7 linked regions of the Mus musculus genome follow. The protein of the gene in region 5 interacts with the protein of the main gene of each other region in a biochemical or structural test. Links are inferred from orthologs where the notes say so. Each region holds a gene or a part of one and is shown on either strand. Other genes may lie near its edges. The genes, in order: Rnf167, Trim32, Rnf14, Ipo11, Ube2e1, Ubr5 and Ubr7.

The links.
Region 1: the proteins of Ube2e1 (region 5) and Rnf167 form a complex in vitro, tested with the Homo sapiens proteins (3 studies listed by BioGRID). The link is inferred for Mus musculus from reciprocal best matches to the Homo sapiens genes UBE2E1 and RNF167.
Region 2: the proteins of Ube2e1 (region 5) and Trim32 form a complex in vitro, tested with the Homo sapiens proteins (2 studies listed by BioGRID). The link is inferred for Mus musculus from reciprocal best matches to the Homo sapiens genes UBE2E1 and TRIM32.
Region 3: the proteins of Ube2e1 (region 5) and Rnf14 form a complex in vitro, tested with the Homo sapiens proteins (3 studies listed by BioGRID, with this or other methods). The link is inferred for Mus musculus from reciprocal best matches to the Homo sapiens genes UBE2E1 and RNF14.
Region 4: the proteins of Ube2e1 (region 5) and Ipo11 form a complex in vitro, tested with the Homo sapiens proteins (2 studies listed by BioGRID). The link is inferred for Mus musculus from reciprocal best matches to the Homo sapiens genes UBE2E1 and IPO11.
Region 6: the proteins of Ube2e1 (region 5) and Ubr5 form a complex in vitro, tested with the Homo sapiens proteins (2 studies listed by BioGRID). The link is inferred for Mus musculus from reciprocal best matches to the Homo sapiens genes UBE2E1 and UBR5.
Region 7: the proteins of Ube2e1 (region 5) and Ubr7 form a complex in vitro, tested with the Homo sapiens proteins (2 studies listed by BioGRID). The link is inferred for Mus musculus from reciprocal best matches to the Homo sapiens genes UBE2E1 and UBR7.

Annotation. Positions count from the first base shown.
Region 1 is NC_000077.6:70,645,963-70,650,034, reverse strand, and holds the start of Rnf167 (E3 ubiquitin-protein ligase RNF167 isoform 1 precursor), read right to left. Parts: upstream 2,801-4,072; 5' UTR 2,167-2,800; coding exon 2,083-2,166; intron 2,021-2,082; exon of another isoform or gene 2,007-2,020; coding exon 1,926-2,006; intron 1,628-1,925; exon of another isoform or gene 1,443-1,627; intron 815-1,442; coding exon 689-814; intron 591-688; coding exon 503-590; intron 361-502; coding exon 270-360; intron 124-269; coding exon 18-123; intron 1-17. Other genes in the region: Slc25a11 (mitochondrial 2-oxoglutarate/malate carrier protein), read left to right, coding at 3,173-3,267, 3,807-3,959, 4,045-4,072.
Region 2 is NC_000070.6:65,603,569-65,607,785, reverse strand, and holds the start of Trim32 (E3 ubiquitin-protein ligase TRIM32), read right to left. Parts: upstream 2,801-4,217; 5' UTR 2,717-2,800; exon of another isoform or gene 2,503-2,716; intron 2,471-2,502; exon of another isoform or gene 2,229-2,470; intron 1-2,228. UniProt on the Homo sapiens protein: E3 ubiquitin ligase that plays a role in various biological processes including neural stem cell differentiation, innate immunity, inflammatory resonse and autophagy.
Region 3 is NC_000084.6:38,306,635-38,310,134, reverse strand, and holds part of Rnf14 (E3 ubiquitin-protein ligase RNF14), read right to left. Parts: intron 2,271-3,500; coding exon 1,740-2,270; intron 651-1,739; coding exon 422-650; intron 1-421. UniProt on the Homo sapiens protein: E3 ubiquitin-protein ligase that plays a key role in the RNF14-RNF25 translation quality control pathway, a pathway that takes place when a ribosome has stalled during translation, and which promotes ubiquitination and degradation of translation factors on stalled ribosomes.
Region 4 is NC_000079.6:106,934,159-106,938,350, reverse strand, and holds the start of Ipo11 (importin-11), read left to right. Parts: upstream 1-1,392; 5' UTR 1,393-1,591; intron 1,592-4,192. UniProt on the Homo sapiens protein: Functions in nuclear protein import as nuclear transport receptor. Serves as receptor for nuclear localization signals (NLS) in cargo substrates.
Region 5 is NC_000080.6:18,329,045-18,333,182, forward strand, and holds the start of Ube2e1 (ubiquitin-conjugating enzyme E2 E1), read right to left. Parts: upstream 2,801-4,138; 5' UTR 2,643-2,800; intron 2,091-2,642; 5' UTR 2,058-2,090; coding exon 1,906-2,057; intron 1,883-1,905; exon of another isoform or gene 1,852-1,882; coding exon of another isoform or gene 1,820-1,851; intron 1-1,819. UniProt on the Homo sapiens protein: Accepts ubiquitin from the E1 complex and catalyzes its covalent attachment to other proteins. Catalyzes the covalent attachment of ISG15 to other proteins. Mediates the selective degradation of short-lived and abnormal proteins.
Region 6 is NC_000081.6:37,966,828-37,970,854, forward strand, and holds the end of Ubr5 (E3 ubiquitin-protein ligase UBR5), read right to left. Parts: intron 3,521-4,027; coding exon 3,435-3,520; intron 1,679-3,434; coding exon 1,466-1,678; 3' UTR 501-1,465; downstream 1-500. UniProt on the Homo sapiens protein: E3 ubiquitin-protein ligase involved in different protein quality control pathways in the cytoplasm and nucleus. Mainly acts as a ubiquitin chain elongator that extends pre-ubiquitinated substrates.
Region 7 is NC_000078.6:102,756,505-102,760,774, reverse strand, and holds the start of Ubr7 (putative E3 ubiquitin-protein ligase UBR7), read right to left. Parts: upstream 2,801-4,270; 5' UTR 2,747-2,800; coding exon 2,597-2,746; intron 1-2,596. Other genes in the region: EKC/KEOPS complex subunit GON7, read left to right, coding at 3,030-3,234; Gm20604 (AK010878-Moap1 protein), read left to right, coding at 3,030-3,234. UniProt on the Homo sapiens protein: E3 ubiquitin-protein ligase which is a component of the N-end rule pathway. Recognizes and binds to proteins bearing specific N-terminal residues that are destabilizing according to the N-end rule, leading to their ubiquitination and subsequent degradation.

The sequences.
Region 1 (4,072 bases), on a different chromosome or scaffold from region 5:
TCTCCTCAGCTACTTACCAATACTGTTCCCATGGCCAAAACCAGTAATCCTACAATCCCAGTGAAAGGAATGAGGTAATAGCCCAAGGGGAAGCTGTTGTCTGGAACCAGAAGCACCCGAGCCCTGAGGAGAGAGAGACACAACCTCAAGCCAGGTAAAATAGGGTTACTGGCTTGGGACAAGGCATAATGAGGAGAAAGTCAAGGCAGCCGAGGAAGAGCCTGAGCCTGAGTGGATTGAGAAGAACTGGAAGAAAGCATGCGTCCTACCCCTTCTCGTAGACAAAAAGGGCTCGTAGGTACTCTGCGCTTCTCTCTCCAATAAATACAGATGGGATCCAGATCTGCTGTTGGATTTCCTCTGTAAGGAGCAGGATATTAGGGATTTAGCCTTCTGTTCCTCAATTCCCTGAAACTGGCTTTTGGCACTTTTTGCAGATCTCAACCAATTGCCCTCCCACTCAACTCCACGGTGCACCCAGTAGTGCAGGCTTCTTCCTTACCGCTGTTCCACACCATGTTCAGCAGTTCATTGGAATTCACATTGTGCACCACAGCTGCACCATACCCAGCCTTCTGAGCATTTAGGACCTAAGGAGGCCAAGCGGGAGGGATAGAGCTGTAACCCTTGCCCTTCATTCCTGGTGTCATGTACCCTGCTTACCACCTCCCATTCCCCATTCAGCAACCTTGAGGTCAAAGTTGCAGTCGAATCTTCGAAGCAGTGCAATAAAGACTGACCCATTGACCGGGGCTGAGGGTGGTGGGGCAATAGGACCGCAGGCATTTTCTGGGTGGGCCTCCACAAGGAACCCCTGAGGGATAAAGGCAAACATTTTCATCTTTAGTTCTGTCTTCCACAGGACCTACCACACATAACACTATATACTACCTGCATTCTGCAGCTCTATCATTGCTCATTCTGGAGGTCTGAGCATCCCACCCAACACTGAATCTACAACTCAGACATGGTGATACATGCATTTAATCCCAGCACTTGAGACTACTGTGAGTTGGGGACAGCCAGAGTTCCAGAGTCCAGTCTCAAAAAAAAGAAAAAAGAAAAGGGATCTCTCAGCTTTCTTGAAGATGCAGTTACAGTAAACTACATCCCTTACCAGAGGCTCCCTTAACTTCTCAAGCGTAGTTTAGTTCTGCTTTTAAGTTTCCCACCGATAGTGGTTCACCTTGCTACTCATTCATGGCATTTTCAACAAGTTTCATTTTCCAATTAGCCATCTTACAACTCTACTGCTAACTGTGGCCGAATGAATTCTTGCTATGTGGCATGAACTTTGTAGTGAACTACTACAGACATGCTTATCACACTGGCACGATAGCCCTAGGTTAATTTCTATTTCTCATTTGACTCAGAACCCATAAAAAGCTGTCCATGGCCATCTATACAAACAGTAAGTTGCTCCAGAGACTGCTGATAAGCACCTGCTTTTTATCTTAGCCCACTCTCAGACTCCCTCTTAAACTTGGGAGTTCTAGGGGTTGTAGATGGTTCAGTGCTTAAGCGCACTGGCTGTTCTTCCAGAGAACCGGAGTTCAGTTCCTAGCATCCATGTAGCAGCTCACAACTGACTGTAACTCCAGTTCCAGGGGATCTGACACTCTCACACCTATGCATATAAAATAAAAAATGTTAAGTTCTAGAGGTGGGCACTATCTATTATCTCTGGATTCTGGACTCTGCGCGCTGGACATGATCATGCACTTAGGTTTTTCTGGATTGGGGACACTTTTTTTTTTTTGCTGGAGATTCAACCTAGAATCTCACTCATACTAGAAAAAGCACCCTATCATTGAACTATCCGCAGTCCACTGCATTCCGCTGCTAACTCCACTACTTCCTACCTCCTGAGCACGGCCACTTCGCCCCTACCCAGGATCCATATAGGGAAATGGGGAAAACATCACCTGCAGTCCCTCGTCGCTCAGAGTGGCCCCAAACAGAGCTGGAAGGTCTGCAAAGTCCATGCTGGCATTGTGCTCCGAAGTCTGCAGACGGAACACTACGTGTTTCAGTCTGAACCCCATTCTCAGCACCCTGTCCCCGTCCGACCCTCAGACTCACCGCTCGAATCAGCCCTCGGACAGGGGCTGCTCCCCACAGTACAGTAGCCACGACAACAGGAAGCGGGAAGGCCGCAGGGTGCATGGCAGCGGGAGGGGTAAAGCTGCGAAGGTCGCGTTCTGATCGCAGGAGCAGAAGCCGAGTCCTGCGCCCTCCTCTGCCTCTCCTTCAGGATCCCAGGGGTCCAACCACCCCTAGGTCCCACTTCTCAGCTACATGGGGGCGTCGGGGAAGGAACTCCGATTCAGGGAGTGAGCTATCAAACCAGCTTAGCGGAGCTGGTAGGGGAGACAATGTATCTTTCTCTAGTACAGAAATAGGACAGAATAGGAGCGAAGGCAAACAGGTAACAACAACAACAAAAAAACTTCCGGAAGGGTAGGAGAAACCTCAAAGAGGTGGGACTTCCGGCCAGGTAGACTGTCTTCCTATGCCCCTGGAAAAGGGTTTCCGGTAAGAAAGGCCAATTCCAGTATTGGACGCTCAGGACGGAGGACTTCCGGTCCCGAGAGGCCGGTTGAAAGAAATGTTTGACATGTAGAAGGAGCCTGCGGAGATGGAGGGAGCTTCGATGCTCAGGAGACGATCTAGTTTTTTTCCCTCAGTCCCTGAGATCCTGGAGCTGCCCTGTTTACAAACCTCTCCTTCGTCTGGCCGCCACGGTACGTTCAAAGTATCGCGAGAGTGCTTGCCACCACCCTCCCTCCACCCCCCCACCCCCTTTCGCCGCTGAAATATATCGCGAGAGGCCTCATAGCCCGAACTCGGCTGATTCACTTGCTCTCGCGAGGTTTTCAAACAAGCTTTTTTTTTTTTTTTTTCCCCGCGATTCCAATTCCGGAGGGGCGGGAATTTAGGGTAGCTTCCTAAATCGGCCACGCCCCTTCATCGTGCATCTTAGCCCCGCCTTATTCCCCGGCTGCCTTTGCGCTCCGAGCCTGCGCCCGCCCCAGCTTCCAGCTGGAGCCAGATTTGCCTGTCGGAGGGGCGTGCGCGCGCGCGCCCTCACCCTGTTGCGCGCTGGTGTCACCTTGGGCGCGAGCGGGGCTGTACGTGCACGGGACCCAAAGCCGAGGGCCATCAAGGGGCGATGGCGGCGACGGCGAGTCCTGGGGCTGGCCGGATGGACGGGAAACCCCGTACCTCCCCTAAGTCTGTCAAGTTCCTGTTTGGGGGCCTGGCTGGGTAAGCTCAGGCCCCAGTGATGGGGGAAAAGGAGGAAGGGACGGGAGCAAGCACCTGGGCCCAGTGTAACTTGGGGTGTGTTGCAGTAAATTGAGCCGGTGCAGGGTCCCTGATGGGTTGCCAGGATCTATTCATCCTTTGCAGGGACCCAACTGTGCTGCATTCAAGGATCTTTACCCTGTGTTTCCACCACCTTTGCTTCGTTGTGCCTGTTTGGGTGGTGGGTATAGGTCATTAAAGGCTTTGTTATAGGACTGCTTGGAGTCTTAGGATGGGGACGCCCTCTCCACCTTTCTTTAGATCGCCTGTAGTCCTAATTCTGCTTGAACCCTAAAGAACTGCCTGAGGCTTTTTGATTTGCATGCCCCTTACTGGGCAACTGGACTCTTTTGCTGGCACGTTGCCCTTGATGCACACACTTAACACACATGCCCACCAGCCTCCTGAATCCTTAGTGGCCCTGACCTTTGTAACTTCTTGCCAGGTTGCAGTAGAGCTGGAACCACTGACCTCTGATTCCCTTTCCTGCCTCACTTCAGGATGGGTGCTACAGTCTTTGTGCAGCCCCTGGACCTGGTGAAGAACCGGATGCAGTTGAGTGGTGAAGGGGCCAAGACTCGAGAGTACAAAACCAGTTTCCATGCCCTCACCAGCATCCTGAAGACAGAAGGCCTGAAGGGCATTTACACTGGGTACTGTGGCCTCAAGTTGGGGAGGGAAGTTGTTGGTTGGCAGGTCCAGACCTTGGCCTGATGTGCTGACATTTCTACTCTTCAGGCTGTCAGCTGGTCTACTGCGCCAGGCC
Region 2 (4,217 bases), on a different chromosome or scaffold from region 5:
GGCTTGCCAGCATGTGACTTCTGATTTATATGCCCAAATTAGCCACTTGCTCTGTAACCCAGGATATGTCATTTAACAAGTGGCTCTTCACTTTCTGCCTTGTAGAATCAGGAGTAACATTTAGATTGTGGGCCTTATGGAGAGAATGCACATTAATCAGCACTCAGCCGAGCTCGCTGTGTTTTCAGACAGAGGCTGGCAAGTGCTTGACCACCAAGCAAGCAGTAAAACAGCCGATTCCACGGCCAACTCAACCTCCGTCAGGTGTTTTCCTAAGCGATCTGAGTTGATGTCATCGCAGCTAAGTGTTCTGCCCTCAGCTCCAGTCTAATTTTGTTCTCTAAACTGCCTTCTGTAGCGTAGCTAGGATTGGAGTTGATAAAGACAATGCTGCCCTTCTGTGCCAGAGACAAGATGCACAAAGGAGAACATTCAGAGCAGTTTCCTTCCGTCTAGCACTGCCCTTGAGCCTGAGCCCTCCTTATCTCAGCCGTGTAGCTCCAAGCTCCTTGCACTATCTCCCCATTGGCTCTGGTCTAAGAGCAAAGCAAGAACAAAGTCCAGGGCTTCTCTTAATCAAGAGAAGTCACCCAGCTTCTGACTACGGGGCAAGCCTCCCTTTCCTTAGGAGAGGCTGCAAAGGGAAGACCAAGCCGACCGCAGCAAACCAGCAATGGAAGAGAGGATGTGGCGGGGAGCTACATGGCAGGAATGTGGCTTTAGACAAGTGACCTCCTAAGCCTTAGTTTCGTGGGTAACACTGAACAGTGAATGTATATTTAGAAGGAATATCATGAGAAGAAAGCACACATATTTTCAAAAGTAGTAAATTCTGAGCACTTTTACTGGGCACCAAACAGTAAGCACCCTGATTTAGTACACTGAGTCCTCACAGCCATTCTATGACGTAGGTCCCTGAAGAGCTTGTGCACTGAGAGGTCAATTGACTCTTTAAAGGTTACAAAGCAGAAAGAGAAAAATAAATAAATAAATAAATAAACAAATAAATAAATAAATAATGCCAGGATCTAACCAGAGCATTCTTGACTCTGATGCCAGGACCCATTTTGGCATGACTGCCATTTCTAGCTAAATGATAGTTTATTGTAGGGGTTGTTCACTAGAAACCAGTATCCCCCCCCCCAAGTATCCCCCCCCCCACACACACACAACCCCTCAACTATGACAACTGACAATGCCTCCATCCAGACACGGTCAAATGTTTCCTGGCAGAACAAAAGCACCCTGTCTGAGAACCCTGGCTTTAGGTAATGGCACAGGCTAAATACTCAGTAGACAGGAGGCTCCGCCTTGTTCCAACCTTGTTTTGTTTCTCACCCAGAACCATTGTCTCTGTGAGCTATAATGGACCTCCTATAAGATAATATTAGGTTGAAGATCATTTTGGCTCATACCTTGGACAGGGAAAAGGCTAGGTAGCAGAAGCCCTTAGGTAGTTCACTGCTTCTTCCCCAAGGCCTATAATATCGGGTCTGTGATGAGGAGGTGGGGGTGGTCAGAGTGGGTATAGTCAGAATACATGCCTGCCTCAGGATTAAAGGGCCTTTAGTTAGTAAGTGAGGAAGAATCTGCCCTTCAAAGAATGTCAAACTCTCCTTCAGGATTTCTGAAGACTGGTGTCTTTATTCCCAAACCCTTACATTCTCCTAAATTCCATTCATTTATACATAGTTTATTTATAAATTACTTTCAGGTCCCTGGGTCTCCAGAAGACCCTCTGGGTTCAGTTATGCCAAGACCAAAACAAAAACAAAAACAAACAAAAACCTCCTAAGAACCTACTCACAAATTTCATTTGGTTTTGAATTCTATAATCTAGTTACAGCATTCACTCCCCACCATTCATTCTCCACAAACCTCATTCTCAACGCTAAATCCCAAATCTATCATTCAACCTTTTAGACTGTATGCTGCAGCCTTGCAATTCACCAATAGCTCTTATGTGTCCCTCATCCCTCCAATACATCCTTTAATCTATTTTCAAATTCCCACATCTATCACCCCTGTATGCCATCTCCAAACTCCAATCCTGTACCTCAGATTTCTGCCCTCCTTCAATCTGATCGCTCATCTGCCCATCATCCCCATCTTGTACTGGGCCACCTCCAACCCCCGCCCCCCACCTCCGCCCCCGTCCTGCCTCACGTGTTGCCTTCAAACCTTTGCTGCGATTTTCTAACTGGGTACTGATTCCCTCGGGAACTCACCCCTCAGTCTTTCCCAGATTCCGCTACAGAAATCCCTTTCTCTTCAGCAATTAGGATCTTCCAAGACCTTGGCTGTTTTGATCTCAGATCTTGCTATCATTACACCGATCTCCTCAAAGCCCCTAAGATTCTGCCCGCCAACACCCAACCTCATCCAGGCCTGCCAAATTCCTTTATGCTTTCTGATATTCTGCACCCAGATACCTCCAGGGACGTCAGATCCTCCCATCTCCCACATGCTGCACCCCGTCTCTCCGCATGGCCCCCACATTACCTCATACCTCCCGACATGCTGCAACTGCAAATTTCCTCAGCCCCTTTGCTCCCCTCCCCCAGCTGCATCTCATCTCCGCCGAATCGCTCCTGAGCCCGTCCCTTCCGAATCCGATCCTGCCACTCCGATCCAGTCCCCAAATCCTGCCATTCAATCTTGGATCCCCGCGACCCACCACAGTCCCTGGTCGCAGACCCTCCTTCCCGCCCCCTACCTGACCGCCCGCAGCTCCGACGCGAGTCCACCGCTGCCAGCCCACCCGCCCGCTGCCTTCTGCGCATGCGCTAGCACGTCCTTCCCATGGCAGTCGCCAATTCGTACAGTCGCCTGCCCGTCAACTTGCCCCGCCTCCCGAGGCATGCTGGGGCTTGTAGGTCTGTGGGCTCAGCGCCCGCGGCCCAGCTGAATAGATAGGGATGGCTCCGGAAACCTAGGCCATTGCAGCTTTCTGCCCCGTTTCAGAGTCTAAACATGGTTAGTCAATGCTAATCCCCCAGTAGTAGTCTCCAGAAAGTTCGGGCACTTTGCAGACAGACGCCTCTTTGAAGAAGACAAGCACACTCCCTTCAAAGAGCTGCAGGTCCCCGGGCTAGGTGTTTCTGCCTGTGACACATCCCAAAGTGGAGTCACTGAACACATGCCCCTTAGGAAAGACGTTTTCTTTGCCAAACAGCGCAGAGGCGGATAGCAGAGGGAGAAACAGGGAAAAGCCTGCATTGAGCCTTGTCAGACGGGAGGTTTTGTGGCCAGGACCTCCTGGTCCTGAAGGTAGTTTGTGGACAGGTAATACCTGCTCCTGAATGCGATAAACACACAGTACTAGTGAGGAATATGAAGGAATCTGAAATATTATGCTCTCATATTTGAAATTCCACCTAGCTGTGTACCCTCTGCACAATGATAAGACAACAAAACAAAAACAGTAATACCTTTAGACACTTTCCGACAGACTACAGACTTTGAAAAGAAGCTGAGACCTAGGGGTTAAAAGGCAAAGTAACCAGTTTCTACCTGTCAGAACCTGGCTTTAATTTCCCAGAATCACTCTTAACTTCATTTTTCTACTTCTTTATCTCAAAATAAAGTTAAGGATTGTTTTGATGAGTTACTAATAACTCAGAAAGGTGGGAAAAGTAAATTTATCCCCTTCCCCCACCTCACTCCCGCCCCTGTCCCACACATCTTGTCCAAGGTTCGGTATACACCTGGCATCGATTTTGATGGAACTCTGAACCAGGCTATTCATTCTCCAACTTGTTTCTCTTCTCAGTGATTCAGGAGTTCTCACATGATTTTATCCCTGGCCGGATTTCCTGATTATACATTCTGAGTACAATTTGATATCTCAGATAATTCTAGAGCCCTGAGCCAACCCAGGCACCCAGAACTCCCAAGGCTTTCCCAGAGAATATGTGACTCAAAGTTCCTTGAAGAAATTATATCTGTGCTGGCAATTCTATGGACTGACCAAATACCTAGAACTGGGAAAGGATAAAACATATTGTAGACACATAGTCAATTTATCTTGGGCTAGCTTTAGTTCTCTTAATGGCCATTTATTAACAACCTATGACTCTGGCCTAACAATCTTCTGACTATAAGGTAAACCATTGGAATGTATAGTTAAAGTTAGAAGACTATGAGCTTCCACTAAGAATGTTATAACATCCGGAAAAGATAAAAGAACTTTCCCTATCTTGCTGTAGCCCATCTAC
Region 3 (3,500 bases), on a different chromosome or scaffold from region 5:
CCTCCCCTCAGAGCCATTCCTAACCAGCTCTAGTGTTCTTTCTCCTCCTCAGCACTTACCACTACTTACTGTGTTGTCTGTCAGCCCCACTAGTCTGGCAGTTCCACGAAAGGATTTGGTCTCTTCTGTCCATCCCTTTCCCCTAGAGCCAAGACAGTAACTGACAAAGCAACCCTGAATGAGAGCCAACCAGCTCTCAGCAGGATGTGTCAACACACCACATCTGCCATCAGACCCACGGTACACTGGAGCAAAAGTTGGTCATAAGCGGCATGCACCTCTGCTTCTAGTAGCTTTCTGCCTTTGAGAGGAATGCAAACTCTACAGGTGTGAGAGCTCTAAATGTATGGACGGAAGTTACGGGCCTTCACAAGGGAAAACAAAGGCTACTGGATGAGAGTTGGGTTCAGTTACAACATACCTGCAGTTACCTTACATGGAGAAAGCCCGTGATAGGTCAGTCTGCATAAGGTACAGAAGGCAAAATTGCAGCTGGAGCAGATAGCCATGGTACCACCAGGCTCTTGCATCACAGGGAGCTGGCAGCATGGACGGGGACAATACACCACATCTGCCATTAGATCCAAGGTAGACTGCAGGAGGAGACGGTCATAGCGAGCAAACAAGTCTGCTTCTACCAGCTCTTTGACCTGAGAGGGAATATAAAACACCATAGATCTGAAGATTTCCCAACTGGCTCTGATCCTATGAAGACTCTGAGGCTGCTGATATAAAATAGATAGGTACAAAAGTCACACCCTATTCTCATTCCAGAAGCAAAGCGGGTTTTGCAATAGTTTATACCCTTTTTTTTGGGTGGGGGGCAGAGGGAGGCATGGTTGAGATGGGTTTTCCTATGTAGTCAGACTAGCTTTGAATTTTCTGAAATCCACCTGACTCAGTCTCCTATGCCTTTCTCTGACTGAGGTTGTGATTATATGGATCTACATATTGGTTAAAACTAAGGCTGGGCATAGCACACTTTTAGTTCCAGCACTCAGTAGGTGGATCTGAGTTCGAGGCCAGCCTGATCCACAGAGCTAGTTCTAGGACAGCCAGGGAGGACTACACAGAGAAACCCTGTCGAGAGAGGAGAGAGAAAACAGAAATCTTATTTATTTATTTATTTATTTATTTATGTGGGGGTGTGGGTTAAAAGATGACCTGAGAGAGTTGGTTCTCTCCTAGGTTGAACTCAGGTCATCAGGTTTGGTGGCAAGTGCCTTTACCTGCTGAGCCATCTTAATTTTTTGAGATGAATCTCATGAAGCCCAAATTAGCCTTGAGCTTACTAAGCAGTCAAGGATGATATTGACTCTGGCCTCTACCTCTGGAGTACTGGGATTATAGGTGGTTGGGTGTCCACACCCATCTTATAGCACTCTTAATAGACACAATGAAACACCCGTGGACTGCATCTAAGGACTCGGTCCATCCCATGAGTACCATCACGAAAGTTTGTGACGGTTGGGGTGTGACTTAGTGGAAAAGGGCTTGTCTAGCATATATGAGGCCTAGGGTTGATCCTCAACACTGCTAAATAATATATTAAGTAAAATTCCCGTGGAAAGTGTGGTGGCAACCACCTTTAATGTCAGCATTTGGGAAGTGGAGGCAGGAGGATCATGAGTTTAGTCCAGTCTGGGATATACAGAAAGGAAACAAAAGAAACATTTCTGAGATGATTCCCTTTGTGAAAAGAACCTGGAGGGCACATGACATGGACAAGAGGACAGTACCTGACCAGGAGTCGCCACTGAAGGGCACTGTGGCTCTGGACAGTTGAGGCATTTAACTTGACCATCTTTGATCTGGATTTCAAAGTAATCCTTCAGACAGGCTTTGCAGTATACATGCTTGCACTCCAAGAAGTACATGCAATCACTACCCAGCTTCTCACAGAAACAGATGCTGCACAAGAACAGTTTACTATTGAAGCACTTCGTCTGCCGAGCTTGATTGAAGTCCAAGATCTCCTGGATCAGACTTGACAATGACTCTACATCCTGTACAGCTCTCTCATCCACAGTTTCTTCTTGGTCTACATCCGCCGCAGCAGCTCCTCCCACACCAAGCTCTGTGCTGGAAGAGGCCTGGGCTGTTGCCCTTCTCTGAACTTTTTTCTGAGACCCCATCTTGAGCTCAAAAGGAGAGACAATATTCAGGTAGGTGAGGGTCTCCTCCTTAAGAAACTGCATCCAGGCAAACAGCACCACTCTGCCTCGGTGTTCTTCCCACAGGTTGTCTAGGTGCTTGCAGAGAGCAGAGAGCTGGGAGAGAGCACATGAGGATGCTGAATTTGAAAAGATGATGATAGACCAGCTCCTGACCTGCTGAAGCTTATTTTAGCATAACTTCCTGAAATTTCTTTCTTACTTACAAAACAGTACCAACATTCTCACCAAATTGTTCAACTATCCAGGAACAGGAGCCAGAGTAAATCAAAATCAGAATCTAGAAGTAGCATGAAGACAAGAGGCTGCCACAGGACACAGAGCCAGGTTGCTGTTTAAGCTTTTAGAATCACTCTGCAGCTCATATGTCAGAAGGAACCTGGTTCTAAGGGGACTGTTTCTCTTAAGGAGCCTACCCTTCCTTGGAGGTGGTCTGGAGTGTGATTAGAAAGGGAACACGGCACAGAAGCATCCTAGCCTGCAAGCTCTCACTGCACTTGTATCTGGGTAGGAACATGTGGCAGTTACCTGTGTTCTCTTCCCCCACACCCTCCTGTTCCTCTTTTGGATTAACTGTACTTCCTATAATAAATCTATCTAACAGAAATGTGTGAGGCACATATGAACAGTAAATGGGCTGAAACCAAAAAAAAGTAAATAAATAAACAACAACAAAAGAATCATTCAAAACTGGGAACACAGCTCAACCGTAGAGTGCTTGTTTATCTAGTCCACAAGAAACAACAAAGCAAAAACATCCAAGAAAGGATAATGTCTTCAACACATGGCGCTGGAAAAACTGGATATTCACACTCAAAACAGCCAAACTAAAAGCATACCCCCAACACATACACCAGTTACAAAAATCAACTCAACACAGAGGAAAGCTTTTGTCAAAGTTCACAGCTTCTGCGGAGCACAGGGAACAATGGAGCGCGGGGGTGACCTACCAGGTGGGAGAAAACAGTCACGCTTCGTACAACACCCGACAAGGTAACACCCAGCATAGATGACAAATTTCAAAAGCACAAGTCTCCAAAATGCTCTGCTTTTTTTCCTTTCTGGTAACAGTGGGAATGGAATCCCGGGCAGATGCACTACCACGAGCCAGAGTTCTGAGTCTTCTCCTAACTTGGTACGCCCTTGCTAAGCCTGCCCAGGTTTGCCTTTTAAAACATCCTTGTTTGTATGTAGTTCTGTGTGGGTACAAACACGCACGTGCATGGCCTGATGTGAGGGTCAGAGGACAGCTGGCAGGAGTAAGTTCTCTCCTTCAACCCGTGGGTTTTAGGGACCAACCTCAGGTCATCAGGCTTCAGTGCCCTG
Region 4 (4,192 bases), on a different chromosome or scaffold from region 5:
GAGGGTTATTCATCTAGCTGTAAATATTTGTTTTGTCAACAATATGCACCTGCATCTTCCATTCAATACTAGTCAAAATTAGTACTTCTGAATACATCCTAATTTGGGGTCCTAGTATTCTAGACACACTTTGTGTATGCTTTTGTTGTTGTTGTTGTGTGTTTTTTTTTTTTTTTTTTTTTTTTTTTTGAGGCAGGGTTTCTCTGTGTAGTCCTGGCTGTCCTGGAACTCACTCTATAGACCAGGCTGGCCTTGAACTCAGAAATTCGCCTGCCTCTGCCTCCCAAGTGCTGGGATTAAAGGCATGTGCCACCATGCCCGGCCTGCGTATGCTCATTTTTTAAAATTAAACATTTCCTAAGATTTACAAAAGACCTATGACTCCAATAAAAGAGTTCTATTTTTCAAAATTTCTCTTTTTAATAACTACTTAATTCTTTCTTCCCACACTAACTATCGCTTGTCTCTCTACCATTGGACACATCCTCTGGGTGGTTGGCAACATTAGCATCAACGGGAATGTGGATACATTTTAGACCAACCATGTAGCTGTGAGTTTGTGCTACACCACTTTGTGCTCCCAGAGGATCACGCACTTCCACCCACTCTCCAGGAACTCTTTGGATTCTGGAATGAAAGCCACACACACATTAGCTTATTTTTGAAATGCCTTTGGTTAACTCAATGACTGGGCACTCCTAAACCTTCCCAACAGAGACTATATGCATGTAACCCTAACACTTGAGAAGTGGCGGCGTCGGAATTTGAAGGTCATCCTCAGCGATGCCAGCCTGGGGTCCTGAGACCCTGATTAAACAGCAGAACTCTAGCGGGGCGTGGTGGCACACACCTTTAATCCCAGCACTCGGGAGGCAGAGGCAGGCGGATTTCTGAGTTCGAGGTCAGCCTGGGCTACAAAGTGAGTTCCAGGACAGCCAGGGCTATACAGAGAAACCCTGTCTCGAAAAAACAAGAACAAAAAACAAAACAAAAACCAGCAGAACTCTAACCCCCACCCCCCAAAAAAAAAAAAAAAAACCAAAACCAACAATGCTCATCCAAATACCTATGGTGGCAGAGTTCATCAATGGGATTCTTTTGATGACCCTCTTCTGCCGTGACAGACTCCTAAACCAAGTAGCTGACAGAATAGTGAAGATGCAATGAATGGTTTTGACTTAGGCTTCGATCAGCGCAGGAGACTATCGATTTTCTCCGGACCTACGGTTTCCATAGTTACAGGGGCCCCTAAGCCGGCGCCTTGCTCCGGGTACCACGCAAGCGCACACAACCCTATTGGCTGCCGCGCGCCTTCGGGTTCGAACTCGAGTTCCTCCCTCCCCTTCCCTCCGCCGTCCTATGGCCTCCCTCCTCGGCCTCTCGGCGCTCTGGGAACCTGTGACGTAATTTTAGCGCGCCCTCGTCGTTTGGAGTGGCGACGCGGAACATGGCGCGTTCCTAGAAGCCGTTTTCGGCATCAGTAGGCGGCAGCGTGTGGACTAGGAGCGTGGGGGACGAGGAAGCAACCAACGCCGCTTCGTGTGGACAAGTGGAAAGGGGCGGGCCGGGCGGTTCCGGACCGAAGCACGCGGTGAGGCCCGGCCGCGAGCCGCGCGGATGGAAGGAAGGAAGGGAGGAGTGGGCTGGGCAGCGAGAGACCCCGCGCCGAGGGCGGAACGCGGGGTCCCGCGGAGCTGTGCGGCGTGGCCGTGGGCCCTCGCGGCTCTGGTGTAGCCCGGGCGAGCACGGGCTCCCGGGCTGTGGGAAGCCTCTGGGTGCTGGGTCCACGGTGCGGCGTGGCAGGGTCTGAGTGACAGGCTGAGCAAAGGCGAGGGTACCTATTGTGTCCCCTGTCGCCGGCCAGGGGGCTGTATTTGTCCTTGGAGGCTTTGGGCTGCACAGCACGAGGGAAACGTGTTCCCCTTCCCAAGACCGGTGTGTGGAGTTAGCTGCACACGCGACCTTGCCGTGGAAGCTGTGCTTTGGAAAGCTTTAAGCATTCCGATCGTTCCTTCACCTTTAAGGAAAAAGTGAAGGGACTTCAACATCAATTCTCCGAGAGGAGATTCATGCTGAGGTATGGCCGCCAGTGCACAGGCTCAGCGACTCCTGCAGCTTTACATTTGGGAATATTTGTGATTCAGCAAAATTATTTCGAGGCCCATAGCATTTGCTCTTTTCCCCTTAATTCTCTTATTGCGTGGTCAACGTGAGAATCTTACAGCAGAGTGATTTTTTTTTTTTTTTTTTTTTTTTTTTTTTGCGTACATAGCAAAGACCGGTAATCTGGCTTCTGGTGCCAAGGTTGTAGTTGGCACACCTCTTCTCCACACGTTACAGGAGCTCTGTTACATGCGATAATGCCTTTAAGATATGCTTGTTGTATAGAAGGAAGCAAGGAAGAGCAGTTGGCAACCATATATTTTAACCTCTCGTGGACTGAGATTTTTCTCTTCCATTTCCACATTATTTCAGAATTTTGTTCTTTGGTTAAGGGCAGAATGACTTCATTATATGAGCTTGATAGCTTTCTTTACATCATTACCTACATGGCTTGATAGCTTTCCCCACATCTTTGTTCCACACAGAGGAAAATTTTGGTAGAATTAGAATTTTTTTTTCCTGCTGGTGGTAGGATTGCAGACTTTTTTCTTCTTCTTTGGGTGTTCTGATGGTGTCTAGCATAAACATTTTAATTTATTTTGTGGACATGTGTAATAGCTATAGGGCAGGAGGGCATTTTTTTTTGCCTTGATTACACTTCTTAAAGCCAAAAGAGAATTCTCAAAGGAATTTGGTTGTAGTAATATGGATGGAGGTTCCAAAGCAGTGTGCAACAGTTATTTGGTAATTAAACAAGTCTTTAGATTTTGTGATATTATGAAATGTATTTACATTCAGCACCAAGCTAGAAGGCAGAATAGTACTTGTAGTATTTGGATATAAGATATACTGAAGATGTTTCTCAAGAATACAGATATCCATTTTTAGGCAAAGGTAATGTTTAATTATTTTTGTTTTTGTTTTTTGTTTTTTTTTGATTTATCTTTTAAAAGCTAAATCTTTGTTTTTTTTGTTTTTTGTTTTTTTTTGGTTTTTCGAGAGGGTTTCTCTGTATAGCCCTGGCTGTCCTGGAACTCACTCTGTAGACCAGGCTGGCCTGGAACTCAGAAATCCGCCTGCCTCTGCCTCCCGAGTGCTGGGATCAAAGGCGTGCGCTGCCACGCCCGGCTTAAAAGATCTTCCTGTGTCCTCTTGTCTGTGCTGTTCCTGAAACAGGCAGAAGAGGGGCTTGGATCTTCTGGTAATGGAATTACAGGTTGTGCCCCACCTGACCTGTGTGCCTGCTGGGAATCAAACTTGGGTCCTTAGGATGTGCAGCCTGTGCCAGGCCATCTCTCCAGTCCTGATTAGTTTGTGTTTGTGTGTGTGTTGCATGGGCATATGTGTATATTTAATCTTTGTTCTGATTTATTATCATCATCATTACTATCTCTGAGATAGACTTTGACTGTGTAGCTTTAGTTTGTGTGGACCAGGCTGGCCTTAACTCAGAGATACCTTAGTGCATACCTCTTTTCCTTAGTGCTGGGTGTGTGTTGCCACATTGGGCTTAATTTAGAATTACTGTTGGTAAGTTAAATTTTTAAAAAAGAGTTATTTATTTTTATTTATATGAGTACACTCTAGCTGTCTTCAGACACACACCAGAAGAGTGCATCGGATCCCATTACGGATGGTTGTGAGCCACCATGTGGTTGCTGGGAATTGAACTCAGGACCCCTGGAAGAGCAGTCAGTGCTCTTAACTGCTGAGCCATCTCTCCAGCCCCAGTTTAAAAATTTTTATCTTTATTTTATTTATGCAGTGTTGGGATTGAACCCAGGGCCTTGTACATGTTTTATCATTAAGATATTTACTATTTGTGCATCTTCAGTTTTGACTTTTGTTTTGGTTTCGTGGTGTTGGAGGTAGAACCCAGGGATTTGCACTTTACAGCTGCATTAGAGTCCCCCAGCCCCCTTCCTTTCTTTGTGCATGTGATGGGTCTAGTCAGCTAGTTTCGGGGTGCTTTACACAGTGGCTGATCACATCTCTTGCAGGTGTGCTTCTGGAGTGCCTTTTGTTTCATTTTCTAAAGATGAGCCTGACTACCAAGTAAGCCTACATTACAAGCTTTGTAGAGCCTAGG
Region 5 (4,138 bases):
ACCATTACTCCTGGGCTTACCATTCTTGATGATGTTTCAAGCCTGCTAGGCCAGTACACTACTATCCAAGCTATCAAATAGTTTTACATGTTTTTGTTTGGCATTTTGTTCATGAGACAGACTCTCATGGAACTCACTTTGAACTCACAGGACATCTATCTGTCTGTTTCTGTTTCCAAGGGCTGAGCTGACAAAAGGCCTGTACTACTATGCCCAGAACTAAGTTTCTAAGTTCCTTAAGCATACACAAGCTGTGTCTATGGGAAAATCTATTTATTTGTACTATACTGACAAAAAGAAAACTACTTTGTATACCTGTCCATTTTCTCCTTATGTCTAGCACAACGTAAAAGCCCCAGTGACATCACAGCTAATGTCCTGCACTGGGGCAGGAGTGACATCACAGCTAATGTCCTGCACTGGGGCAGGAGTGACATCACAGCTAATGTCCTGCACTGGGGCAGGAGTGACATCACAGCTAATGTCCTGCACTGGGGCAGGAGTGACATCACAGCTAATGTCCTGCACTGGGGCAGGAGTGACATCACAGCTAATGTCCTGCACTGGGGCAGGACAGGTCAAAAGTAGAACAGAGAGCTCAAGGCCGGGGTTGATCAAGAAAGGCCATCCTGAGCAAGAAGGATAGAATCTAGGTTCTGGGAGATTCACAGGGGTTCATCAAAGACCCTGGAGAGACTGAGATATAATCAGACCACTGAAACTGATAACAGTTTTACCAAAGCATCAACCATCTCTCCAGACCTCAACAGCAACCATTTAAAATGACCTGAAGTTACTCTATCAGTCCAGTTAGCTCACTAAGACAGCATACCAAGTTTCTGAATTTCAGTTCAGGGAAAACAACAGAACAAACTGACAATCTTTGAGTTCCAGGCTCACTACTCAGCAGAGAGACCCGAAGCCATTTAGACCTTCCATTTCATTTAAAATTCTTTAAAGAATGCCATTCCCCAGCAGCCGAGTTTCTGTTCCTTACTATGGCCAACCATCTCAACAAAAAAAGGGGGTATGAAAGGAGAGGAGAGGCAGGCTCCCAGGTATCTACTAGAGATTATTTTAAGGAACACAGGATCAGAGAATGTGACTTAAGGTTGACAGAGGTAAATTATCCACCTGGTTTTTTTTACACAAGAGAGAGATTATCGCTGGGTGAACTAAGTGGCTCACTTCTGTAACAATCAAGAGGCTGAGATAGAAGTGCTAAGTTCAAGGCCAGCTTGGGCCAAAAGAGACCTTGTCTAGTAAAACAAGTCTTTCTGAAAAGTGTCAAACTGAAGTTTTTAAACAGAAAAGAAAAAAAAAATCCAAAAATAACTGAAATAATTTTACAGTTATTCACTGATTCTTTCATCTCCCTTAACTCTCCAAACAGGCAAAGGTTCTTCAAATTCTGCCAGAAAACATGACATTCTTTTAACCGCTAATGAGAGTTAGTTATTCCTTAAGCGATGTATGGAGAAAACCCTATTCAGAAAACACCACCCCTGCAACAGGTGAAGAGGAAGAAAGATGGTCAGAACTAGTTTTAACAGAGTTGCCCAGGAAGGTACTCTTAATAATGAAGTATGATGACAGCCTCCGGGAAGTCAGAGATTCGTGATTACTAGGATGAAGACTCTGAAATCACATTGGGAGTCACTCATAAAAGTAATGAGGATTCTTGAAACTTCAACAAGAAACGGACGAGGCCAACCACAACTCCTGCATATGGACGAGGGCACTAACAAAACCAGAAGCAGCGAGCAGTAGAGAAAACAGGTGGGACTCCCATGCCCCATTTTCCTGCCTGAGAACTCACGAGAACGTCGTTGAAGCCTCCCTCCCTGACATGCAGCACGAGGCCACTGGGAAGCTCGGATGCCTGTGGAGAAAGGAGTGGGATACCTCTTAGCGCTGGTGGAGAGAAGCTTCGAATTTTTGCTCATGCTGACTTTACTCTCCTTCTTCTTGGGGGTGCTGCCTTCTTTCTCGGTCTGCTGGTTGGAGGACGAAGATGACGAGGAGCTGGTGCTGGCCCTCGAATCGTCATCCGACATAGCGAACCCCCCACCCCACCCCGCGAACGGCCCCTGCAGGGGGAGGAAACAAAACAGAAACACAGACCATGCAGGCGCTGCAAAGAGGGAAGGAACTCCGCTGTCAGGAGGGCGCGGGCCGGGCCGCCCCCGCTGCCTGCAGAGGCTCGGGGCCCACCGCCGCACCGGCCGAAGAGACACGGGGGCCACGATCGCGCGGGGGCGGCCCGGGGAGGGCCGGGAGCCGCCGCCGCGGTCCCCCAGGCCTCCCGGCGTCCGCTCGAGTTTGGCGAGGTCGGGACGAGCCGAGCAGCGAGAGTGGGTGAGCAAGCCGAGCGTGGGCCGCGTGGGCCGCGGGGACACGGCTCCTGGCCAGGCCGGGCCACGCGGGGCTGCGCTCGCAGGCCGACGCGCACAATGCGCCCCGGGCGGGCGGGTCCCCGCGGGGACCGGGCCGCTCTGACAGTTCGCGCGGCCCCCGCCGCCCGGGCCCGCCACGCCATCCCGGTCGCCCGGCCCTGCTGCCCGCGGCCCGGCGGTGCCGCCCGTCCCCCGGCCCCGCGGCCCCAGGCCCCGCGGCCCGCCCGCCCTGAGGGGCCCCCGCACCTCTCTTTGTGTCTGGCTGCTCCGTGCCGCCGCCGCGGCTGCTGCTGCGGCTGCGACTGGGCCTGGCCACTCGTGTCTCGCTCTCACTGGGAGAGAAGCGGAAGTGCAGCAACAGCAACTATTAACCAGGCAATGGCTTCCCCGGCCGCACACGCTCCGCGCCACTCCTCCTCTCCGCCCCGCCCCGCGCCCCTCCCCCGCCGCACCTGGGGGCCGCGGCCCGGGAGCCCCGAGCGACCCCGGCTTGGCCTGGGGACGCCGCGCCGGGCGGAGCCGAGGCAACCGGGCGGGATTGGGGGCCACTGGGGCAGGTGGAGCCCGGGGTGACCAGGGGAAGTTCTTCCCAGGAGGGCTTTGGGAAAAGGCTGGGGAGTGAGGGGGCCGGTGTGGGGAAAAGATGGTACTCTCCTGGCGAGGACTTTGACTCCTCCCCAAAAGTGATTCGTTTGAAAAGAAAGAATGGAAGAAAAGAAGAGAAGAGAAGAGAAGAGAAGAGAAGAGAAGAGAAGAGAAGAGAAGAGAAGAGAAGAGAAGAGGAGAGAAAAGGAGAGAAAAGGAGAAAGGAAAGGAAAAGAGGAAAGGAGAAAGGAAAGGAAAAGAAAAGAGGAAAGGAGAAACGAAAGGAAAGGAAAGGAAAGGAAAGGAAAGGAAAGGGGGAAAAGGAAAGGAAAAAGGAAAGGGAAGGAAAAAGGAAAGGAAAGAGAAGGAAAAAGGAAAGGAAAGGAAAGGAAAGGAAAGGAAAGGAAAGGAAAGGAAAGGAAAGGAAAGGAAAAGACCCCTAACAGGTTTTTCCTTTGAGCTGATGACACTTGTTCCTCCCTCTGGCAATTACGTGCTTGGAGCAGAGGTCACGCCTGTGAGAAAAAACCCAGACTGGGATTCTGTTCAGGACACCAGGCATGTGCAATTTTATACTAGATACCACCCTCCTTCCCCTTTCACTTGTTATTGAAAAGGATGTGGACTTTTTTTTTTTTAATGTATGCAATTGGGGTTCGGGACAGGTAACTACGACCGGGCTTGGGATTATAAGATCACTGAAAATAAACCTTGAGCCAATGATTTTGACAGGACTTGCCCTGGCTGTCCTGGAACTCACTTTGTAGACCAGGCTCTCCTCGAACTCAGAAATCCGCCTGCCTCAGGATTTGGAATTCTTAAATTAGATATGTCTGAGTCTTAGTAATGGGGAAAAAAAGTTCTAGAAAGCACCCTACTTTCTTTTTACTCCAATATGATGCTATTCAAATAATATTTTTAGGATAATCACACAACAATGCCACTAAATTGTTCCTTGTGTGGCACTGTACCGAAATTTATTTTTTTTAATTCCACCATTAAATTAGGACTTAGTTTCTTACCAGTTTGCCGTTTACCCTGAAGGGAACAGACCCCTGCCATCCAAGTTCACAGAGATCTTGTGTACTGAGCAGACAACAGCACTCGAATTTCCATGGTCCACTTTAAATTACCTCATTCAAATTGACATTGCTTCC
Region 6 (4,027 bases), on a different chromosome or scaffold from region 5:
GAGTCCTAAACAGGCACTGAAAAGACAGGTATCGTTAATTGTTTTTGAATATTTAAGTAACTAATTTAAATCCTAGTAGGGACTTTTAATTCCTTGTTATCTGACTGAATAAAACTCTCAGTCCACAAATGTAAGGGTATTGGTCCCAGACCACAGAGCATCTTTAAAAATAGATAGATAGATAGATAGATAGATAGATAGATAGATAGATAGATAGATAGATAGATAGATAGATAGATAGATGGATGGATGCCTGTCATGGAGTTGACTCAAAACTTCTGTGCTGACTAATCACACTTCTACTTGTAAAACGAAAAGGCCTGGCTGAGTGCCATTTAGGATTCTCTGCTAACTGTAAAATGTGGACTGATTTTCTTAACTTTCTTATAGTTCACATGTATATAAACTTAAAAAAAAAGTATGAATATAACCATGTCAGTGCATTGCCCCTAGCTTAAAAAATGTACAACTATATAAATAAAAACTGTTTCTTCAATGTTACTTGACATTTCTTCTGTAATTTATTTAAAAAAGTAAAATGTAACAAGATACTTAAAAAAAAAGGCTAGATACAAAAGTAGTTAAGCTGCTCAAGAACATTTAAAATTCTCCAAAATTTAAAATTTTCAGTATTCATGATCTTATAAAACATTTTACAGTTATCAGAAAGTGCCCAGGCTGAGTACACATAACCTTAGTACAGACATCTGGTTAGCACTCAAGTGCAGTGTGACCTATCCACCTGCACTGAAAGAGGGGTACAAAGAAAAAAGGTGACTGTGGCAAGGTACTGTGCGTCGGCCCATTTTATGTACAGAAAAGTGCCTCTCTCAAATGAACACATTACATGCAAACTATTAGTGTATTTAGTATCCTAGAGCTCAATGTAGCTGAAATAACCCACACTAAAAGTGAGGTTTTTATAGGTAAAAGTGGTTTTGTCTCTAAAATCCGAATGTCAAGAACTTTTTACAAGTTCCATATACATGATACACAATTGCAGCCAACCACAAATAACACCATAAAAAAGCTAAAATGAAAACACAGAACATACTTAATTTTTTATTTTGAAATTCCCTATTCCCTCTATACAAGAACCTTTGCTGAAACACTTTCCACAAAGGCAGCAGTGAATTTTCAGAACATTTTACATTTTTCCCCCTCAGCAAAAAAGATAAATCACAGTGTAAATTATGTTGTTCTGCTGTCATCTTTGGCTGGGGTTAGACCTAGAAGTTGGCGACTAGCAAACCATCATAGAGAAAAGGTGCCAGTGCTTCTCAGGCCTTTAAGCTACAAACTCAGCAAGGAATGTTTGCATTTAATCTCTTTAAGGTACCACCGGGGGTGGGGTGGGGTGGGGGTTATGACAGCATTAACTTCCATAAACTTTTATAGACAAATGGGAAAAAAAATCTACAAAATTAGCTAGTAATATTACACAGCAATACACACTTTTTATACTCTACACAAAACCAAAATTCTTGGTCTTAATGGCGAGTAGTAATTTTTGTTTGAGAATCTGTTTAGAGGAATAGAGTGGGACATAAAGTCGAGAAATACAAGTATTTGCAGTAGGAAGATGTTGGTCATCTGGTGGTCTTATTGTGATCGAGGGCATAGGCTGAAAACCTTCTTCACTGGCTGGCAATGATGGGCTAGATGTCCAGAAGTAAACCTAAACAAGGATATATAATTACAATGTTGGTTTTAATAGGTTAATAGTCACCTTGAATTCCAGCAACATAAACAACCCCACTGTGTAAAACCCAATTTAAAAACTAAAGCCTCACTAACACAACTGCCTAAATATAAGCTAAGGACAACAACAGGCATGTTAATATGGATGGGGAGAAAGCCCAGGAGGCTTCAACCATAAACACATTACTATCAACAATTAAGGAATTTGGGGAGCAGGAGAAATAGACTTTCCTAGAAAGCACTCTGTTGGTTATCGAATACCAAATGGTCAGCCTTTAAAACATACATCCATCCAAATAACATTATACAAACTGAGCAAGCTTTACTTATGTGTTTAGAAACATGAGCACACAGAGGCACACAGAGCAAGACGGAGACAGAGACACAGAGAAACAGACCCTGAATTTGAAAAAGAGCAAGGGAGGCTTTGGAGAGAGAAAGAGAAGAAATGATGTAATTATAATCTCAAAACAACTAACAAAATCTCCCTTAGTTTCAAAATTATTTTCTTATACTAAAAGACCAATATCAATTATAATGCAATAAACTACATTTAAGAAAAAATGTCAGGATTAAGGGAGAAAAAAGGGTGTCACATTATGGGTTTTTTGTTGTAACTGTCTTGAGGCCCGAGTTTTCTCATCTGAGACAGGAAGCTATTGTGTCAAGCTATCACTAAGAGCCTTTACTATAGCTAAGATCTCTGAGTAACTTACTGGGAAAAAAGAGAAATTCTTTTTTAACCAACAACCCCAGGCTAGTTAAAAAGCCATTTTATATTTTATCTACTAGCAAAGTAATAAGATGCTAATTATGATACACAGTAATTTTATAACAATAACTGAATATTGGGAAATATCTACAATGGACGAAATTTCATACAATGACATATGGAATGCTAGCAAAAATTTATTTTGGACAACACATAGTGCCAATGATACCCAGTAAGTGTCTAATGTTACTCTATTTATTACAAAATATTAAAAAAAATGCTTCTTTACGGAAATACGTACTTTATAAATATAAAATACTCTGAAAGATCTATCCTTCTATACATTCACATACCAATCTTCTAGGACAGAGTTTAATCTATGGTATTTACTTTGTACAACTAAGCACTGAAATAAATCTAATAACTTTACGGAGTAACTCAGAAACTTAAGTAATTGGGGTTATTTTCTAAGACATAATTGTGTAAGAAACATCATCTTAGAACAGTACAGAGGAAAAAGAAGGAACAAACCCTCCCCAAAAGAACCAGGAACATAGCCGGACTCATCCACTCAGTTAACAGGGAAGAAAAGGCTTACTGGAAACAGATTCCAGACTGAGATGGAGCTAGAGACTGGGTCAGCAGGGAATGGATGCTTCTCCAAAAGCTCTGGGTTTCATTCCCAGGACCCAAACAATGACTCAGAACTCGAACTCTAGGCCCAGGTGATCTGACACCCTCTTCTGGCCTCTGAAGACACCACACACATATGGTACACAGACAGACATGCAGATAAAATACATACAGGAGAAATGGAAGAGAGGAGGGAAGGAGTGGGATGAATGATCAACCAAAGTGGCAGACTTCACAGAACCTTTATCCGTAAACTGTTCTCCAAGAGAGACCCACCATCCCATCCCCGAAAACAAACACACACCCAAAAAACAAACAAAACCAAACAACAAAGCATAGCAGACCCCTTGCATTTCACTCTACAAGTTTTGTGAGACTTCTCACTCACCAGGTCCTGCCGTTCTGTCATGCTCATTTTCTCTACTATTGACCAGAACCACCGTTTGAACTGGAGGAGCTTCTCAGCATTTTCTCCTGAGAATATAAATTCAATGTGTTGTTTTAGATGTTGTTTCTTTTGAATACTAGTAAGCTTATATAAACAGAGATACATTGAACTTTAAAATTTAAGACATCTAATTCCTAACAAGAAACTAAAGCTTTTTGTGTAACTACAAACCTGTACAATTAATTGGGTCATCCTGACTCTGGATGAGTAAGAGAGAGTGACCTGTCACCACCAAGGTTGATGTCAGCCTCATCTGTAAACCCTCTTCTTCTGCTGTGACTTTAAGCCACAGTGCTCCTCAAACCACTGAGCTATAAGCCACATGAAACCTTTTAGAAGATGGAAGAAAAGGACACCAAAGAGTCTACATTTCTACTGGGGGGTGGTGGTGGCAAGGGCAGCGCACACCTTTAATCCCAGCACTTGGGAGGCAGAGGCAGGCGGATGTCTGAGTTCGAGGCAAGCCTGGTCTACAGAGTGAGTTCCAGGACAACCAACGCTACACAGAGAAACCCTGTCTCAAAAAAAACCAA
Region 7 (4,270 bases), on a different chromosome or scaffold from region 5:
TCCAGCCCTCACATTTCTTATTTTAGAAATTCTTATAATTCAACCATACAGAAAAATTAATCATTTTAATTTGGGGAGAGATGTATGGGGAAGCATCTAGAAGTATAATTATGCCCACTACTTACTGTCAAGTAATGAAGTATAAAAAAGGGCAAGTGTGTTCAACAGAGACAAATGTTTTAAAATGTTGAAGGAAAAATAGCAAAACTTAGAAGTGTTGGTAAGGGGATTCTCAGCACACAGGGCCGTGGTAGAGGGGACAGAGCACAGGTCCATACTGGTGCAGCAAATGCTTTACTGAGCCTGCCAGTGAACTACCACACACACTTCTATTCTATTTCAATCTGCTCCTAGTTTACTAAAGAATTTGCCGGGCCAGCGAGATAGCTCCGTGGGTAAAGTCACTGGCTCTGTAAGCCCGGAAACCTTCGGTCCACCTCCAGAACCTATACAGAGGTGGTGAGGACAACCGCTTCCATAAGGCTGTTCCCTGATGCCTGTCTGCATATGCTATGTGGTACATGTGCCCACACACATCAGTAAGCAAGCTTGTTAAAATCAACCTGGAGTTAGAGAGAGATGGCCCAGAGCTTAAACGCACATACTGCTCTCTCAGAGAACTAGCATTGAGTCCCTAGTACCGTGTTGGCAGCGCACAACCCCCTGCAACTCCAGTTCCAGGGGGATCAGATTCTTCTGCCCTCAAGAGCATCTGTGCGCACATGCACATAGCCACACAAATACTTGAAAATCTAACAAAACAAAAGACTGCCAGGTGGTAGTGGTGGTACACACTTTTAATCCCAGCATTTGAGAGGCAGAGGGAGGCATATTTCTAAGTTCCAGGACAGCCAGTGCTACATAGAGAAACTCCGTCTCAAAAAAACTAAAAGAAAATAATTATTATTATTGATATACTTATATAGAGATATGACTATTTAAAAACAAAAACTTAGGACCAGGCCTTTAATCCTAGCACTTGGGAGGGAGGTGGATCCTTGTGAGTTCAAGGTTAGCCTGGCCTACATAGTGAGTTTCAGACCAATTAGAACCACTCAATCTGACTGTCTCAAAAAACAAAAACAAAATTCACCAGAAACAAGACTTTAAGCCAAGCATGGTGGTACACACTTGTAATACCAGCAGCACTTGGGAAGTGAAGATAGTCAAAAATTCAAGGCAGATCTGAGGGACATAAGATCCTACCCCCAATTTTAGTTAGTATTGTATAAAAATAAGTATATTAATAAAGAGCTTACATACAGACTTAGGATCTTTCTTTCTTTCTTCCAATGAAGGGGTGGGTGTGTGGTTTAATGGTCACAATGAAAAAGAGAAATAAAAAGGAAAGGACATGCCTGTTCCTTGGGAGGTTGAAGGAAAAAGTTTACTATAAAAGGAAGAGCTCGGAGGCAAGGACTTTTAGGAGAGTCCAGAGGCTAAAGATTCTGAACTGGGCCCTGGGAGAAGAGCAAGGAAGGGTAGGGGATAGGGATGGGGAGCCAGGTGCTACAGCCAGGAGACCCAAGAGAGCTGCATAAACAAAACGGCTGCATTATTTAGGGAAGGGAAGCTGGGGGAAGGGTAGCCCGGCTCCTGGGCTGGAGAAGTCTGGGAAAGTGGATTGGGTATGTCTGCCAGGAGAGTCCCGGAAGGGACAGAAGGGCAGGGAGAACCAGGAGGCCACCATCGGCTTTGATATGTTAAATAGGCACAACAGCAGAGTCCAGGGTTTGAAACCTAACAATGATCCTCCAAATTTAAATACCAGCGACCATGCTGTGACTACTTCTGGGATACAAGATTTATTCAACAATTTTACAGTGCAAACCCAACTTGGTCAACGAAGACAACTAGTATTATGACTTCAGTCCACGCCACACCATAACTCCAAGTCCCTTCACTCCTACCCCAGTCTCCCACTCCACCCATGGGCATAGTTAGCCTGTTTCCTTCCACCAATTCTCATCCTTGTTGTTAAGTTTCCTTCCTACCCACCCTTTTCCACGTTAGTACTTAAATGTACAGTATGCGTCACTAAACACTACATCTCAGCCCCTCAAACTCTCTCGTTCAAAAGGTCCCACAAATGCCAAACAGATCCTTTTCTCCTCTTGGCTTTCCAGTCCCCAGAGAGAGGGGATGTCACATAGCACATACACACGAAACTTCATTTAACCAGAAAGGGGGTGAGGTGGGGGCAGCTAGCAGTTAAACTAGACTACAGGAGTGTCCGGAAGCCGAACCTCACCGGAAGATTTTCAAAGCCGGCCCACTTTCCCTTTACTTTTCCCCATCTGGTCCCTAATTAAGATTCTTGGGCGGTGGGAGAAGTGGAGCGAAGAATATCTGGGTTTGAGAGATCACGAGAACAACCTCGTGAAAAGCAGGCCACCAAGAGGCGACAACTGGAGGACCGGAGCCTGCAGTGTACCATCAGCGGAACCGAGGGACAGCCCTGGTGGCGACAAGCTGAGGATGAAATGGCAGCCGGGCCGGGGCTGTAGAAGCACAGAGTAAAGGGCCGCCGTGAGTGGGCCCGGCCGCGGCCAGCGGGAAACAGACAGGACGGCGGGAGCAGCCGGGCCGCGCGCACCTGCGAGTAGGAGCACTTCTCCGAGTCGCTGCCGCCCAGGACGGCGCACGCCTCATTCTCCAACTCCTCGTCTTCCTCGAGCACGTCCACCAGCGACACCACGGGCTCCAGCTCCGCCTGGCACTCGGTGGGGCTCTCGGCTCCGGCCATCCTCAACTGTCACCGGGCTCCGCTGCGTGGGCCCAGGAGGAGGCGGGAAAAGTGGCCGCCGCCAGGGGCGTCGCGAGAAGGCGGGGCCCCGTGAGGAGGCGGAGCCCGAGCACCAGACAGCCAATCCTAAGGAAGGACACGGAAGAAAATGGGCGGGCCAATTTCGGGAAATCGGAAGTCATTCCTCCTCCTCCTCGCCTCTCCCGCCCGCCCCGGCCGCAGGCTGGCTTCCGCTTCCGGGTGGCGTTTCTCCGAGGCGCGCTGTTGAAGCTGAGTGGTCGCCATGGAGCTTTCGGGCGAGTACGTCGGTTGTGACGGGGAGCCGCAGCGGCTACGAGTGTCCTGTGAGGCGTCGGGAGACGCGGACCCTCTCCAGAGCCTGTCGGCGGGCGTGGTCCGGATGAAGGAGTTGGTAGCGGAGTTCTTCGGGACCCTAGTGGAGCAGGACGCGCAAGGCTTGGCGGAAGATCCGGACGACGCTTTGGATGGTGAGCGCGGGGGCGGGGCGCCGGGGGACACTGGCGGGACCGGGCAGTGTGAAGGGCAGGCTAGAGAAGGCGAGCCCCGGAGAAGAGGAGCAATCGCTTCTAAAAATCCTTAGAACTCGCTGCCCTCTTTGTCTGATATCCCACCGCCCCCCGTTTTTGCGACTTTTCCCACCAAAAAAAAAAAAAAAAACCGTGGCGAGCGTTGGACTAGGGACTGGTCAACGGACGAAGTCAGCTTGACTCCCTTGCAAAGAACGCAAAGGATTAAGATAGGCAGAGAAAGTGGCGGTCTGTAACCATTGCTAGCTGGCACGAAGACCCGAAAGGGCGGGAAGGTAGACCTGGTTGTTGAAAAACGGAAAGGAGTGAAATTAGAAACGAGAAAACGTGTTTGACAGAATGAGGAGAGCTTCGAATGACCGAGGCCCACTTTGTTTTAGGGAATCTTAACCCTCTCAGTTTTGTAGCTATTGTTTCGAAAGTAAAAGAGTTCTTTTTAGTTTAGCTTTTTGGTATTCTTAAATTAATTGATCGTTTCATTCATGTATTAATGCATTCAGGTCATGGTCTCTATCCCCCGCTGAACCCTTCTCGACAGGGCTCCTCGCCTTTCTTTCCGGCCTTTTTTTGTCACTGGATTTATTTAAGGATATTTGTATGATATTTACTGGAACTAGGGCAACACAGCAGTGACTAGACCACTGAAGAAAAACAATGACTCCCCCGCCCCCCATTAACCGCCAACCGCTCCTCTGAGAGGGGTGGCGCCTCATGAGCCCCCCCCTTCCTTGATGGAATGTTTACGTTGCCATCTTGTGCTGCCAGAGTTTAAGGGCTATATAATGTCCGAAAGCACTACAGCCCTTCCCGTCCTCTTACTTTCTCTCACCCCCTCTCCTGTTGTAGAAATTAACTGTTAATTTTGGTGGCTTGGGGTTTGTTTGCTTTTAAAGATGGATGTTTACCTGCATGCTTGTCTGTACACCTCTTATGTGCAGTGCCTTCGGAGGCCAGAAGAGGGCATCAAATCCCCTGG